3 linked regions of the Caenorhabditis elegans genome follow. The protein of the gene in region 1 binds, or shares a complex with, the protein of each later gene. Each region holds a gene or a part of one and is shown on either strand. Other genes may lie near its edges. The genes, in order: crn-3, exos-2 and dis-3.

The links.
Region 2: crn-3 (region 1) and exos-2 share a complex: the UniProt entries of both Caenorhabditis elegans proteins name them as parts of the RNA exosome complex.
Region 3: crn-3 (region 1) and dis-3 share a complex: the UniProt entries of both Caenorhabditis elegans proteins name them as parts of the RNA exosome complex.

What each region holds. Positions count from the first base shown.
Region 1 is NC_003280.10:10,586,031-10,593,246, forward strand, and holds crn-3 (Exosome complex component 10 homolog), read left to right. Parts: upstream 1-2,011; 5' UTR 2,012-2,012; coding exon 2,013-2,251; intron 2,252-2,875; coding exon 2,876-4,306; intron 4,307-4,421; coding exon 4,422-4,944; intron 4,945-5,369; coding exon 5,370-5,673; intron 5,674-6,394; coding exon 6,395-6,528; 3' UTR 6,529-6,622; downstream 6,623-7,216. Other genes in the region: Alpha-1,2-mannosyltransferase algn-9, read left to right, coding at 98-299, 354-884, 942-1,244, 1,547-1,702; crn-5 (Exosome complex component RRP46 homolog), read left to right, coding at 6,732-6,935, 6,982-7,148, 7,196-7,216. UniProt on the Caenorhabditis elegans protein: Catalytic component of the RNA exosome complex which has 3'->5' exoribonuclease activity and participates in a multitude of cellular RNA processing and degradation events. Involved in apoptotic DNA degradation.
Region 2 is NC_003282.8:6,413,564-6,417,968, forward strand, and holds exos-2 (Exosome complex component RRP4 homolog), read left to right. Parts: upstream 1-1,914; 5' UTR 1,915-1,939; coding exon 1,940-2,079; intron 2,080-2,140; coding exon 2,141-2,309; intron 2,310-2,354; coding exon 2,355-2,582; exon of another isoform or gene 2,583-2,689; coding exon of another isoform or gene 2,690-2,890; intron 2,891-2,937; coding exon of another isoform or gene 2,938-3,054; exon of another isoform or gene 3,055-3,090; intron 3,091-3,164; coding exon 3,165-3,320; intron 3,321-3,514; coding exon 3,515-3,643; intron 3,644-3,690; coding exon 3,691-3,780; 3' UTR 3,781-3,897; downstream 3,898-4,405. Other genes in the region: Y73B6BL.22 (Nitrogen regulatory IIA protein), read right to left, coding at 2,690-2,890, 2,938-3,054. UniProt on the Caenorhabditis elegans protein: Non-catalytic component of the RNA exosome complex which has 3'->5' exoribonuclease activity and participates in a multitude of cellular RNA processing and degradation events. Involved in regulation of antisense ribosomal siRNA production.
Region 3 is NC_003282.8:10,095,518-10,100,304, forward strand, and holds the start of dis-3 (putative exosome complex exonuclease RRP44), read left to right. Parts: upstream 1-1,684; 5' UTR 1,685-1,690; coding exon 1,691-1,777; intron 1,778-1,824; coding exon 1,825-2,021; intron 2,022-2,194; coding exon 2,195-2,510; intron 2,511-2,828; coding exon 2,829-3,069; intron 3,070-3,292; coding exon 3,293-3,731; intron 3,732-3,788; coding exon 3,789-4,090; intron 4,091-4,208; coding exon 4,209-4,609; intron 4,610-4,787. Other genes in the region: msp-36 (Major sperm protein 10/36/56/76), read left to right, coding at 1-299. UniProt on the Caenorhabditis elegans protein: Putative catalytic component of the RNA exosome complex which has 3'->5' exoribonuclease activity and participates in a multitude of cellular RNA processing and degradation events. Has both 3'-5' exonuclease and endonuclease activities.

The sequences.
Region 1 (7,216 bases):
TCAAAACATTAGTCGCTTCGAGACCGGTTACCGTATTTCTGGAGCAAAAATAGAAAATCTTCGCGCTTTAGAATTATCTATATTCTTCTTATTACAGGACAGCTGGAATCTTCTGCGTCGCTTTCTCCACTATGGTTGGCTGGCCGTTCTCTGCTGTCTTGGGGCTTCCGATTGTTGCCGATATGCTTTTATTGAAAGGATTAAGAATTAGATTTATTCTGACATCGTTAGTGATTGGATTATGTATTGGTGGTGTGCAGGTTATTACTGATAGTCATTATTTTGGAAAGACTGTTTTGGTAAGTAAATTTAATTTCTAAAATTTAAATTCTAAGTTAATTAAATCCTTTAAGGCCCCATTAAACATCTTCCTCTACAACGTTGTCAGTGGTCCTGGTCCATCACTTTACGGAGAAGAACCGCTCTCTTTCTACATCAAAAATCTCTTCAACAACTGGAATATCGTCATATTTGCTGCTCCATTTGGCTTTCCTCTGTCTCTTGCCTATTTCACAAAAGTCTGGATGTCTCAGGATAGAAACGTGGCACTCTATCAAAGATTTGCACCAATCATCCTATTGGCTGTCACCACTGCCGCATGGCTTTTGATTTTTGGAAGTCAAGCTCATAAAGAAGAACGTTTCCTATTCCCAATTTATCCATTCATTGCTTTCTTCGCTGCTCTTGCATTGGATGCCACGAATCGACTGTGTCTCAAGAAATTAGGAATGGATAATATTCTCAGCATTCTCTTCATTTTGTGCTTTGCAATTCTCTCGGCATCAAGGACGTACTCAATTCATAACAATTATGGATCTCACGTTGAGATTTATCGATCTCTGAACGCAGAGCTGACGAATCGGACGAATTTCAAAAATTTCCATGTAAGAGTTTTATAAATTTCAATGTTTTTATTTTTTCGAAAACTCCCAGTTGTTCAGGATCCAATTCGTGTATGCGTTGGAAAAGAATGGCACCGCTTCCCTTCATCGTTCTTCATTCCACAAACAGTTTCTGATGGGAAAAAAGTGGAAATGCGATTTATTCAAAGTGAATTCCGCGGACTTTTACCTAAACCATTCTTAAAATCGGACAAGTTGGTGGAAGTTACACGTCATATACCAACAGAAATGAATAATCTGAATCAAGAAGAAATATCGAGATATGTGGATTTAGATTCATGCGATTATGTGGTTGATGTTGATATGCCACAGTCGGATAGAGAACCTGATTTCAGGAAAATGGTAGGGGTTTTGAATATGGAGAAACGTAAATGGAGATTTTATTTCAAAAAAAAAATCATCTCAAATTCAGCGACAAAACTACAAAAGAAAAACAAAAAAAAAATGGAAAAGAATTGAAAACGCGATTCTACAATTTTGGCTAAATTCCCTGTTTGAGGAAATCAAATTTTTAAATTCAAATTTTCATTCTTTCCCATTTTTTTTCGTTTTTGACAATTTTGGATTATTTCAAGCATACTCACACTACTCCTTCCTGTAGAAATGTTCTTAATATATAATTGTAAATTCATATCTATTTTTAGGAAGATAACTGGAAACCAGTGGATTCGCTTCCATTCATCGATGTCTCCAAATCAACAGGATTCCATGGGCTTCTTCGTGCATTTTATGTTCCATTCCTTTCTGCCAAACATAATGTCATGACGACATGCACTTTATATCGAAAATCAAATTTGTAAAACATGTATTAAATATTTATTGTTCACTTTGTCTGAACGGAATTCAGATTCAGGGATTCCGATTTCATGTTAATTTCGGGTTTTTTCTTTTAGGTCACCTTCTTTAAATTTAATTTATTCTTCTTATTTATTGCCTGGAAATTTTTAAAATTTGTATTTATCGTTAATATTATTTATTACCAAGAAATATTTTTTTTACAATTTATTCTCATTTATTGTTTTTCTTTTCTTGGTTTCAAGTCAACGATTTATTATTTTTCTTGATTTTTTTCTAAACTTTCGTTTCTCAAGTTCAAAGAAAATTTACAGAATGTCAGGAGAAGAATCAATGCCCGATGAAGAGCAGAAGCAATCTGAGGAAGAAGAGGAAATGATAAGAAAAAGAACGTTAGCGATGAGGAAAAAAGTCGAAGAAATTATGAGAAATGGCGCCGGGCTTGTTCGTGAATCAAATGGTTTGCCGAAAGCTGGTGCGGATTATGAGCTCTACAACTCGTATCCGACATTCAACACGTTTATGAAGCGATCCGAGCAGAGATTGAATGCACTGTGAGTTGAGCGTCTGAATCCGAAAAAGCTCCGGAAAATTAAAAAAAAATTTAATCGACATTTTTTTAAGCCAAAAACACCAAAAAACATTTTTTTTTCTCCAGAAACACAAAAAAAAAGAAACTTTATTTCAAAAAGCTTAAATATTTTCATCAAACATGCATTTTAAGTTTTAAATTTTGAAGTTATTTTGGAAAAAAACTTTAAAAAAAATTATTCGCCAAAAACTACAAAAAAACTACAAAAAATTTCAAAAAATCGAAAAACGAAAAATTTTCGATTTTTTTTCAATAGAAAATTTTCCGTTTTTTCGATTTTCCGCTATTTCGAGATTTTTAAAAAATTAGCTTTAAAATTTGGTATTTTTGCTTCTTTTTAGAAGAAATTGTCATGTTTTTTCTCATCAATATAAACTAAATTATTTGAAATAAATCATATTTTATGGTGAATTTTTTGAACTTTTTTTTTTGAGTTTTAGGAAAATCGAAAAAAAAAACGAACATTTTTGGCTTTTCTATTTTAAGTTAAAAACATCGAAAAAATCGGAAAACGACATTCTTGGCAGGGCCATGTTCAGAGAAAATTTCATTTAAAAACAAAAAACTTGAAATTCCATATTTTCAGCATGAACAAAGTCACCAAGTCAATAGGATGTGCAATGCGAGTTCCAGATGTCGGTTCATCAGTCGAACATTACACAGAATGTGTTATCGAGGCTCAGGACAACATTGCAGAACGTGCAGCAACTCTCCATGAAGCGCTGAAAAAAGCCGAGCTAGATGAGATAGTCAAAGTTCCAGAATTCATTACAAAAGCCGCCCCAACAAATCGAAAAACCGAAGCAGAAGTTTCAGCGGCAATGAGAACGTTTTCAGCGAATATTGGAACGGTTTTGGCGGAGAAGTTTAGAGAACGAAGAGAAGAAGCTGCTCAGATGGTTGTGTTGGAAAAACCACAGAAGACGTATAACATCAGTTCGGACAACTCACAAGCTCCTTTTTCTTCTAAATTGACTGTTAAACATCATGCCATTGAAAAACGAACGGGTATTGTTCTCCACGATGACGATGAGTCTGGAAGAAGAGATTGGATAAGTGCTGAAACAGAAACTGAAGAGGAACATCCATATATCGCTGAAATTCTTCACTTCAAAGTTCCAGAAGCTCAGCTGAAATCTGCAGAGTGTTTAAAATTCACAGCATTGAAGGATACTCCATTGACAATGATTGATACTAAGGAGAAGCTTGAAGCATTAACGAAAACTTTGAATTCTGTAAAAGAGTTCGCAGTCGACTTGGAGCATCACCAAATGCGATCGTATCTTGGATTGACCTGCCTTATTCAAATTTCAACAAGAGATGAAGACTTTATCATTGATCCCTTCCCAATATGGGATCATGTTGGAATGCTCAATGAGCCATTTGCAAATCCACGTATTCTCAAAGTTTTTCACGGTTCTGACAGTGATGTTCTCTGGCTACAAAGGGATTATGGAGTTCATGTTGTTAATTTATTTGATACATATGTTGCCATGAAAAAGCTGAAGTATCCTAAATTCAGTCTTGCCTACCTCACTCTCCGATTTGCCGACGTTGTTCTGGACAAACAATATCAACTGGCTGACTGGAGAGCACGGCCTCTACGAAATGCGATGATAAACTACGCGAGAGAGGATACTCATTACCTTTTGTATAGTTATGATATGCTCCGAGAGCAACTTCTGAAACAAGATACCAAGGATTTGGCCAACGTCTACTCAGAGTCTAGCGATCTTTGCATAAAAGTATACAAGAAACCAGTGTTCAATCCGAAAGGATATTTGACGGAAATAAAATTCCGATTCACACTGAATACTCGACAGGACTATGCACTTACACATCTTTTCAAATGGAGAGATGTAGTAGCTAGAGCAGAAGATGAGAGCCCACATTTTGTACTTCCAAATCATATGATGCTATCACTTTCTGAGACATTACCACGAGATGTTGGAGGTATCTACGCGTGTTGTAACCCGTTACCGTACTTTGTGAAACAGCGAACTGGTGATATTTTGAAGTAAGTTTTGAGAATTGTGGGAGTCCCAGCATTTTCCGAAAAATGAAAATTTCGTAAATATAAGCTCCGGGACTCAAAAGACCTCATAATAAATATTCTAATTATAAAATTACAGAATAATTGTGGAGGCCAGAGATGTGAAGCTTGAGAAAGTGGGATTGTCGGCGAAAGAAAGAAATGATGCACAGGAAGCACGAGGTGTAATGAACGATACTATGGATCATATCACTTCAGTTTTAAAATCAAAAATCGACTTTTCACACACTAGATTTGACGAAGAACGCGGAGAAATTTATATTGATAAGACAGATGAAGGAATGGATATCGAGCTGAAAGATCATAAAGAATCATTGTTATCAGTGCTCCAAACGGCTGAAATTCCAAGTGTGGAAACTATGATTGTTGTGGAAAAAGGAAAGAAATCGGATAATCAGAAAGTTAAAAAGTTGTTGAATGAACTTGACAAATTTGTAACTCCATTTGAATGTTATCAAATGATGATGATTACAAAAGAAAAGCAAGAAGAAGAAGAGAGAAAAGAGGCTGAGAGAAAGAAATTGGAGGAAGGTGATCTACCGAAGACTATGTTCTCACATCATGATGCTCCGATTAATAGAAAACCTGAATTCGATGCGAAGGTTGGTAGATATAATGAAATCTGAAAAAAATCGTTTTTTTTTTTGGGAAAAACCGAAAAAAAATGTCTGAAAAGAAAATTCCAAAATCGGTATTGCTCATACGGAATTCAGAGATTGCTTTATTCTTAAAAAAAAATTTTCGGCGGAAAAACGTACAGATTTGATAGAAAATTTTTTTTTTTCGATTTTCTCTGAAAAAAATTTAGTAAAAAAACTTTAAAAAAAAATTATCTGAAAAAATCACTAAAATCTTTTTTTAATTTTCTCTGAAAAAATAAATAAAAATGAATTTTTTTTCGATTTTCTCTGAAAAAATCAGAAAATAAAACTTCTTTTTTTTCGATTTTCTCAAAAAAAAAATAAATGAAAAAAAATATATTTAAAAATTCCGATGACATCCTTGGTTTTAATAAGATAATTTTCAGCTTCTAAACGTTGATACACTGAAGCTGGTCCCAGATGATCCGAACAAGCCGAAAGATCCAGAACCTTCACCAATGGAAGAATCTTCATCGGAACCTCAAATCTTCGATCCATCTCGTTTTACCGACGACCAGCTACTGTCAAAGAAGGCAATGAAAAGAAAGAGAGATGCTGCTCGACGAAATATAGATGTTTCTGTTGTGCTCGGCGAGTCGTCGAGTAGTTCAGATCCAAAAAAGAAAAAATCTGATGATGATGCTCCCGTTGAAGATTTTGATTATGAAAAAGCTGATAGTAGTGCATTTGGTAAGTTATATTCCTTTGAATTATCCAGACGCGAGATTTAAGGCTAAAAATACGGTACCAGGTCGCGACAACTTGCAAAATGGTGTGCGCCTTTGAAGAGTACTGTAGTTTCAAATTTTCGTTACTGGGAAATTTTCTTCGGTTTTATTTTAGTTTTTTAATAAATAAATTTAAAACTAAAAAAAATTCCGCAGCAACAAAAGTTTGAAATTACAGTACTCTTTAAAGGAGCACACCAGGGCTGGGACAAAAAATATTTTTGAACAAAAAACCAAAATTGAAATTTACGAATTTGCGAAAAACGAACAAAAACCAAAAAAAGTTGATGCTTGAATTTATTTTTCAAAAAAATCGTGAATATGTGAAAATGTATTGGTTTTTCAAAAAATATTTTTGTTGGTCTGAAAAAAAAAACAAAAAAATCAATTTTTCGTCAAAATACAAGAAATATTTCAATTTTTGTTGAATTCCAACAAAAAAACCCAAAAAAAAATCAATGTTATTCGTCGAAGTGCCAATAAAAGCTATTAAAAAACCCAAAAAAAAAAATTCAAAATACCAAAAAAAAACACCAAAAAATCAATTTTTCGTTAAATTCCAAAAAGAACCGCAAATTTGCAAAAAAAAAACGTTTTCTGGCTCAAAATTTGGATAATACCGTACCCAATTATATAGCTCTCAAAAAAGTCTCGAAATCAAATTCCTAATAAATTATTTCCAGAAAAACCTGTTCGAGACAACAACGCCGATTTCGATCCATTCCATCAAAAATATCGATTGAAGAACAAGACAAAGAAGAATATGGCTATGAAAAAATCATCGAATCGACAAGGAACCATCAACTACAAAAAATGATTAAATTGTTACATCCCATCCCATTACCATTGTTATTTTACTTTTTGTTGTTGTGCTTTTTCTTTTGCTTTGAAATTAAAGAAAACTGTTTTTGAAATCTTTTTATTTATTTATTTTTAATTCAATTTGGTTTTCCACCAATTTCAGTTATATTTTCTACAAAATTCATTTTTGTGATTAATTTTGATTTCAGATATCCCCAAATGGCCGGCAGACTTCGTGAAATGCGTTGTGAGCTCTCGTTCCTCAAAAACGCGGATGGCTCGGCATGCTTCTCCCAGGGTGCCACGTGTATTTGGGCTTCATGCAGTGGTCCTGGAGATGTTCACGCTTCGAAAGCAAGTGATGAGGCTATGACTCTGGATATTAGTTATAGAGCAAATTGTGGAGATAACAAGTTCAATGTGGTAGGGGTTTTTGTAGAAATTACTTTTGGAATAATTCTTTTTTCAGCTGAACAATATCATTCATTCTACTCTATCCAATGCAATCAATCTCGAATTGTTTCCCCACACAACAATTTCTGTCACAGTACATGGAATTCAGGATGATGGAAGTATGGGAGCTGTAGCGATAAATGGAGCTTGTTTTGCTCTACTTGACAATGGAATGCCATTCGAGTAAGTTTTTTTAGATACTGTTTTAAAACTGTAATATAATTTTTCAGAACAGTCTTCTGTGGTGTCCT
Region 2 (4,405 bases), on another chromosome or scaffold:
GGAAGCTTTTTCCCGTTTCTCAGTCTCTTTTAAACGAAGATGTGGGCGGAGTCTCGGGGTAGGAAGAAATTAGAATTTTTGTTAGAGTCTGTCTCTAGAATTGATGAATAAAAATTTAAAATTCCCCCGGATCTTGGAATCAACGCAAAAAAATATAAAAGATTCTGTAAGAAATTTCTTTAAAATATTAATTTCAAATTCGCCGCGATTTGCGAAGTCAATGGAGGAGTACGGTAGGCGTGTGAAAATGACGGAAGATGAGTGAAAAGAAGTATATTCAAATAATTAATGAAAGCTTTTGATCTGTCCATTTGTCATCGAAAAACACCCGTCCGTCCACCCACATTTTTCGCCGAATTTTTGTGGGAAATTAAGGGCTCTGATAATGCAAATTATGGATAATTTTGTATAAAGTTTTCTAGACATTGGTTAGCGATTTTAAAACTACGAAAAAATGAAATGACAAAATAAATAAGTACTTGCACCTGACTATCATACTTTAACAGCTCATATCTCAATTCATTCAAAACAGTTTACAAACTGTAAAATTGATAAATTTTAGAAAATTAAATAATCAATAAGTTGCCAGTTGACAGTTGTTCAAAAATTTAAAGACAACCAAGTTATAACTTCTAAAATTAATCAATGCCTCGATGTATTAGATACAATATTTTGAAAACATTGTTTTCGATGAACCACAATTTTGTAAATAGTGTATCAGAAACAGTGTTTTTTTTTTTCGATTTTTTACAAATTTTTCTGGGAGCTTTTGTAAGACTCCTACTACTATTTTTATGGGAAATTTTAGAAAAGTAAATAGTCAATTAGTTGTCAGTTAACAATTTTTGATATAAAACAAAAAATAAAAAATGAGCTTCGAATATGGAGCAAGTGTACAACTGCTAGAAAAATATGTGGACCTTTCTTTTGCGACACATTCTTTTTAGGAAATTTGCACTGTTCTGTGAAAGATTTCAATCTGAAATATGAATAGAACAGAAGAAATAATATTGATTTTCCTGAAATTAACCGAATGTTTAGTTGAAGTTCTTGAGAAGTTGTTCAAATACTGGCTCAATTACAATATTCCGGGTACATATGCATTTTTAATAACTTTTAACGAAATTTAAGAATAATATCAAAAATATGTTTCAATACTTCTCATAAAACTCTCAATCAAAATAAGAAATACCAATTCGAAAATTCGAACATTGTTAATCAGAAAATGGTAACTTTATAAATGTTTTTTCAGAAACATTGATTTTTTTTCAATTTTTTCAAAATTTCAAAACTTTTTTCTAAGAGTTCCACATGACCGTCTACCGTCTGAAAATGTTTTTTTTTTAATTTTTAGATGGAGAAGAATACTTTTACAGTCAACCTAAATAAAAAAGAGTACATAAACCCGCAAAATCGGAATCTAGGAAATATTTAAAAATCGCACAATAAACCACCAAAGTTTTGAAAATTTTTCCTTTACGATTTTTACTTCTGTTTTAAATACTCAGTTTTTCTCCAATATATTTCTACGTATCCTCTTTTGTTGTATTTTTCCCGTTCGCATGCAAGTCGAAATTATAGGTGTCCCATTCAACTCACACTTCCTTCCAATGACACCTTTATAAAAAGTCAGACAATGGCTTCGTGTCGAACCTTATTTTTATTTCAATTTCGGGTTTTCATCGTCATTGGTTTAGCAGAAACAATTAAATTTGCACGCTCAATTGGCTCGCACTTTTATGGTCGAAAATCAACATTTGAATAGGCGCCAATTGAGTGACGTGTGGGTTTACGATAAACAGCACGCTTTCCGTCATTTCGGAGTGTCGTTGGAAATAATTATTTTTATTTTCATTTCGAATGAAAGCTTTTTTCAGTTTCTTTGTTTAATTTAAGTTTATTTAAATTTGGTTATTTGCAGACAAAAAAAATTTAAAAAATGAGTTTCGAAGTCACCGGTCCACCCCTCGTATCACCATGGATGATGTTATCAATGTCCGAAGCAAGAAATGATATTGATGAGACAAAAATTGTTATTCCAGGACATTCAGTTTGTGATGCACCGCAACAGTTTATGAGGTATGTATATTGTAAAATACTGTTATATCTTTTTGAAAAATGAAAAAATTAAGATTTTCAGAGGACATGGAACTTACGTTCGCGACGGAGAAATCGTCAGTTCTCTCTCTGGAGTCGTTCAACAATTAAATCGACTGTTGATGGTTAAAACTATTAAACAACGATATGCTGGTGAAGTCGGAGATGTTGTAGTTGCCCGTGTCGTGGAGGTTCAAGCAAAACGGTGGAAGGTTTCAAATTTTTAAGTGAAAAATATAACGATAATTGTTTTTCAGTGTGATGTGGCATCTCGTCTTCATGCAAATCTTCCACTAGGTTCAGTTCTCCTGCCAGGAGGAGACTTTCGCAGAAAAGATGTAGAAGATGAGGAGAAAATGAGCGAATTCTTGAAAAACGGAGAACTGATCTGTGCAGAAGTCCAACAAGTCCAGCACGACGGAACACTTATGCTACACACAAGAAATAATAAGTACGGAAAATTGCAACAAGGAATATTGATTAAGGTAATATTTTATAAAATCTTAAGAAAACGCAATTATAAATTTTTAAATAATAGTTCGGAAAGTTGTTATATTTCTTTAAATTCATCATCCAATTGATTCCAATTAGCTCACGTACGGCGTCTTGCTCTAAAAGCCTCAGAAGTTTTATTCAATTCTCGATCTCTGTACTCAATCACAGGATCTTGATCCTTCTTTGCAGTTGGATGCAGTTCAACAGTCTCGACGCCATAACGAAGAATACAAAAAATTACAAGCAACGCAGCAATGAGAATCCATTGTGTATAAGCACGCCATTCGGGAATTGGGCTCTTTAATAATAATTTTCTATTTCAAAAAAAATTAATGAAAAGCTAACCTCCGTGATAACCATATTTGCACGTTCATCGAGTCGGTAGATCATTGAATCGAGCACTTTTGTACGAATATCCTCCGCCTTTTCAAAGTGTTGAGTTTTCTCATTCTTATGCGACATCTCGTTCAAAGCAATATTTCTTTTTTGTTTATGCTGCCAAAATAAATAAAGCGACAAAAAAATCCACAAAATGAGTGGGAAGTCACGGAATTAATTTCTTTTTTTTGCAGGTTCCTCCACATTTGATCAAAAAGTCCAAGAAACATTTTCACACGTTACCCTACGGAATGGCTGTGATTATTGGCTGCAACGGAAGTGTGTGGGTCACGCCGTCGTTGCCGGAGACCACACTTGAAGAGGATGGATCACATGTTCACGAGTTTCAGGTGTGATAGTGATTCTTGAGAAAAATGAATCGAAAATAACAATTAGCGCACATATTTGGTGACTCAACAACGAGAAATTATAATAATTCCAATGATTGACGAGACCTTATAATTTATTCATCATACTCGTGATCATCATAATCGAAAAGAAAAACAAAAAAATTTGGCTTTTTTCGCAATAAAATAAATTTCAGATTGTACCTCCCGACGTACGCGTAACTATGGTCAGAATCGCTGCCTGTGTTCGTCTTCTTCGTGATTATTCCATCTCGATCTACCTCAATTCACTGACAACATGCTATGAAATGAGTCAGCCTTATGAAGTATCGATTGTTTCTTCAGTTTTAAAAAATTAGAAAAATAATTTCAGATCAAAGAGCTCGCCGAGCAAGACACGTCTTCTCGACTCGCCTACCTGATTGCTGCACGGCTTCTACAGGAACTTCAACAGCAGAAGTAATTCTAATTGTTTTGAATGATCTCTCCCTATTTAAAATTTACCTTTTTTGTTGCTGTTATTTCTTGTTGAGTTTCTTATTTACCATTTCAATTAAATAAAACTTTTTACTTTTTCGGATGATATTAGCTGCGATACAAAATCTGAAAGTTTCGAAAGAAATGGTCCATACCCTGAAATTAAACGATCGACCCGTAATCTTTGCAAACCCAAGGTCGCACAGAAATTTTTTTGATCTAGGAATTGTTTCAATTGAACTCCACATTCTAACTTAATGACCGAACAATTTCAGTGAATATACTTCGATTCACACTATCCGCTTTTCAATCCACCAAGTGAGAATCGAGACGATTTTCTGGAAAGTGTTTATTGTGATTCAAAAAAAACCAGGAAGAATTGAAACATTGACCAGAGGAAAACAACAAAAAGGAAAAGAGAGAGCAGGCATGGGACAGACATTCAGTGAAAGCTCAAAAATTATGCTGCTAATTAGCAGACTTCTAACCTAAAAGGATGCATATGAGGTGTTGGGCACAGTAAAAATGGGAAAATATAACAAAGGATCGAATGGTAAACGAGGATCGGATGAACGTTTCATAGAAAACAATGTGAAGTTAATTCGAACTTC
Region 3 (4,787 bases), on another chromosome or scaffold:
CCTATCACATCAAGGTGATCAACTCATCGGCTCGTCGTATTGGATATGGTATCAAGACCACCAATATGAAGAGACTTGGAGTTGATCCACCATGTGGAGTTCTCGATCCAAAGGAAGCTGTGCTTCTTGCTGTTTCCTGCGATGCTTTCGCCTTCGGACAAGAGGATACCAACAACGACCGTATCACTGTTGAGTGGACCAACACCCCGGATGGAGCTGCCAAGCAATTCCGTCGTGAATGGTTCCAGGGAGACGGTATGGTTCGTCGCAAGAACCTTCCAATCGAGTACAATCCATAGGATGTGTGAACTGGGTTTCTTAACAATAAACTTTTTTCAAGTATATGTTCTGTTTTTCTGTTTTAATCTGCAAATTGAATATATATTAATACTCAAGCGAACAAGTTTTGTGTTCCATCGATGCCCTTAACATAAGCATCCGGGATTTATTGTAAATCGTTTGGAACTATAGTAATCCTACCTTAATCTTCCAGTAGTCATTCAGTTCAGAAGACTACCCAACCATACTACTAACCCAGCCCATCTCTCCAAAACCTGAAAGCTGTTTTGCTCCGTAAAGGTCGAGGAGGGTGTATTTTTCTTACAAATCAAAGAAATTAACAAGTGAACCGATCACAACTTTTTTTGCTGATATGAGAGAAAAATACTTTATTGATTGGTTCGAGTAAATTTTCGAATTTTCGAAAAAGGAAAGATCCCTGGTATATAATGTCTCAGCTCTGCTATGTATTTTTCTATTTGAAATTCCGAATTCAAATTTTCTCTAGATGAAAGCCTTGGTATTGAATTCTATGCTGGGTTTAGTAAATTTTCGAATTTTCGATAAAAATTATATAATGAAGAAAAATATCCAAATTGGAGGTATTTTAATTTTAGAATACGGGAACGAAGAAGATCAAGATCACATACAAAGTTTAATGGATCTGAAGACATTTCAATTTATCTGGGTAGAACCAATTCTTCAACTCCAAATTCTACAGTAACCGATTCTTAAACATCTTATGGAAGTCCATCGAGATATGTATTTCATTATCATGTTCTTACCCGTTTTTTTTCAATAATGAGATTCTATATTTCGCTTAATGTTTTTATTGTTCTTATTGCTTCCAAAAATTAACATTAAAACAATAAATATTTTGCATCTTGACAAATTTAACATTTTAAAGTCTGGTCAGATTTCATCCTTGAGGACAGTGCTGTGTCTACATACATGAAAAAAAATCAAAAAGTGGCGATTATTTAGTTTCATCCGCATTAAATTTTGTAAGACAAAAAAGTTTGGCAATTTACCAAATCTATGACTGAAAAATTTTCAAAAATCTAAAAACGTTTTGAGCATTATTTTTTAAGGTTATGAGGCCCTAGATAATCATGTTTCCTACCCGATTATCTATTTTAGATGTTTAAACTTCCGTTTTCATGATTTTAGCCATACTCTATTTAGATATATTCTTCCTTTTCATTTCATTTTTCCTCGCAGCTGCGATGGCAGTGTTGTTCGAAGTGTTCGTTTTCGTAGTGCCTACGACACTCCGATGTTCCACTCGCGCGTGTTGTTCACCGTAAATGTACACTGAGTTTTTCTTCGAATAAAATAGTTTTTCCTTCATTTTTCACCTGATTCGTGCGATTTTATTTGTTTTTCACACGTATTTTCATTATTTGAAGGTATGGATTTGAACGTCAAACAAAGTGGAATTCATTCCGTCGCTTTGCACACGACTTACTTCCAAAATCGCTCGGGGAAAGTCTATAAAGTGAGAAAACCTCTCCGAAATCACCTAACCCAATTAAAATTTTGCAGAGAGCCGAAGAAAGATATCTACGAAATGATCTTTCATGTGGACTTGCTCAATGTGGAACCTGCAAGGATTTCGGCACAAATCCGCTGTTAAAAATTGAAAATCCCGTAAGAAATGCGAAAGTTGGAAGGCACGCGCTGATTGTGGATTCCACATCATTAATCAGATTCTACGATTTGTTTGATTCGTCTTTATTGAGGTAATGAATTAAAATTACAGCGGAATCATTTAAATGTAGATGGTTCTACTGTCCAATTATTAAATTCTTAATTTGTTGCTCCAAATTCAGTTTTTAGAAGTTGTCGGGATTGTAACAAACATCTAGTTTCAATTAAAAACTCTGTAAAATAATAAATTATATTTAATTTTCAGAGATCTCATCGTAACCCAGACTGTATGGGAAGGAGTCAAAGCAAAAGCTGTACCAGCCTACAAGAAAATGAATTCTTTGTGTTATGAAGATGCGAAAGACAGATTTCACGTGTTCATGAACGAATTTCACTGCGAGACCTTCTCCGAATCATCGAAATTTGAGGATTTGAGTCGTGGCGAAGAGCTTCTACTTTCAACAGCTCTTTACTTGAAAACTCATTGGCAGAAGCATAACGTGGCTCCTGTTGTCTTAGTTTTTGATGAAGATTCGAAAAAAAGAATGGAAAATCACTACCAACACGTGATGTATTTAAAGGTTAATAGTCGAAAAGTTCAAAACTCTGTGGATCTTTTCTGAAACTGGCGAAATTTCGAAAAAGAGCCAAATTTTGTTAAAAGAAAATTTTTGATTTCTTAAGACTCATAATGAAATTCTGTCGTTCCGAGCTAGTTTCAGACTATTTCAGCCAAAAACCCTAAAATATACACCTCTTTAACATATTTTCGCCGTAACTAAACTTTTATTCAACTAAAAATCATGATCCTTAATCAAAAATTGTATAATAAAGTACAATAAAGTTTGAAAAATGATCCAGTAACCCCGTAGAAAAAGAAAAAATCTCCAAATTTTCAGGAATACATACAAAATTTGGAGGATCCAGGAAAACAAGCACTTTTGGATCAAATGGCTGCGTATGAAAGCTCTGGAAATGGAAATGAGAAACAAATTTTCGATGAATATCTATCGCATGATAGAATTATGGAGGGAATTGCCAGTGGAACGATCAAAAGAGGAAATTTCAGTGTTTCAAGAGAAAATTATCGCGAAGCTACTGTTATTATTGATGATCAGTTAACATCTTGGTTCATCACAGGTGCTTGAATTTAGTTGAAATATTTATTTTCGAAAACCAACCAAATTTTTCACACAAGTCATTACTTTTTGCTGAGAATTTTAAAAAAACTTTTTTATAACGAAATTAGGTGGTTTTCGGTCATTTTGAGCGAAACAACTCTGAAATTATATTTTTAAAAAAGGTGAAATTTTTCCAAAAATTCCAATTCTCTGAATAATAAAATTTTTATTTCGAATTTTAGGAAATAATTGCAATCGTGCCGTCAATGGAGATACCGTCGCAGTTCAACTTTTGCCAGAAGACCAATGGACTGCTCCAGAGAAGAAAATTCGACTCCGTGACGTTGAAGAATATGTTAAAACTGCAGATGACATGGGAAATGAAGACGAGGAGAATGATGACGAGAACGATGAGCCAAAAGCTAAAAAGTCGAAGAAAATGACTGTTTCAACTGCAAAAGTTGTTGGAATTATCAAAAGAAATTGGCGTGAATATTGTGGAATGTTGCTGCCAAGTACAGTGAAAGGAGCCAGAAGACACTTGTTCTGTCCAGCTGAACGACTTATTCCAAGAATTCGAATCGAGACGGAACAGGCTGAAACTTTATCACAGCAGAGAATTGTGGTGGCTATTGATCACTGGCCAAGAGATTCCAAGTATCCACTTGGACATTACGTCAGGTATGTGAAATTTCAGAAAATCTTGAAATATTTTAACGGAATGACTGTTGTTTTCAGATCAATCGGAGAGATGGGATCCCGTGAAACTGAAAATGAGGTTCTCCTTCTCGAACATGATATTCCACATGCTCCATTCTCAGAATCTGTTCTTGATTGTCTACCACGTGAAGAATGGGAACCAGATCTCACTGAAAACCGCGGCCCTCTACCACGTGTTGATTTGAGAGATTTAACAATTTGTTCAGTTGATCCACTTGGATGTACAGATATTGACGACGCATTACACTGTAAACAAATTGGAGAGGATCTTTTCGAAGTTGGAGTTCATATTGCAGATGTCACGCATTTTGTTAGACCAGGTAAATATACTGAAATTATTTAAAAATTCAAGTTTTACTAAAAAAAATGTTTGTCCTTTGAGGTTCGAATAAAACCTCATTTATTTTCAAAAAAAGAACCAAAATTTCCTACGTTTAGGAACCGCAATCGACGATGAAGCAGCATTACGTGGAACTACAGTATACCTTTGTGATCGTCGTATCGATATGCTTCCATGTCTGCTCAGTTCCAATTTGTGCTCACTTCGCGGAGAAGAAGAGCGTTATGCATTTTCGTGTATTTGGACAATGACTTCTAGTGCTGATATACAATCAGTTAAATATCACAAATCTCTAATTAAATCAAAAGCTGCATTGACTTATGAGAAGGCACAAGAGATTATTGACGATCCAAAAGAGCAGAATGACGTGGCATTGGGATTACGTGGATTGATGAAATTGTCGAAAGTTTTGAATGCGAGAAGAACTGGAAATGGAGCATTGACGTTGGCATCGAGTGAAGTTCGCTTTGATATGGATTGGGAGTCCAGAACACCAAAGGTTTAAAATTTAAAAAATATTACAAAAAAAAAAGTTATATTCAAATTCAAAGAAGAAATATATTTTATACAACAGAGCGACCTAGAAACTGATTTTCATTTAGATTATTACAGTAATCTCTCATTAGAGCGCGCTTGCGAAATTTCCAGTTCTTTTTTGCTAACTTTTAAACCATTTT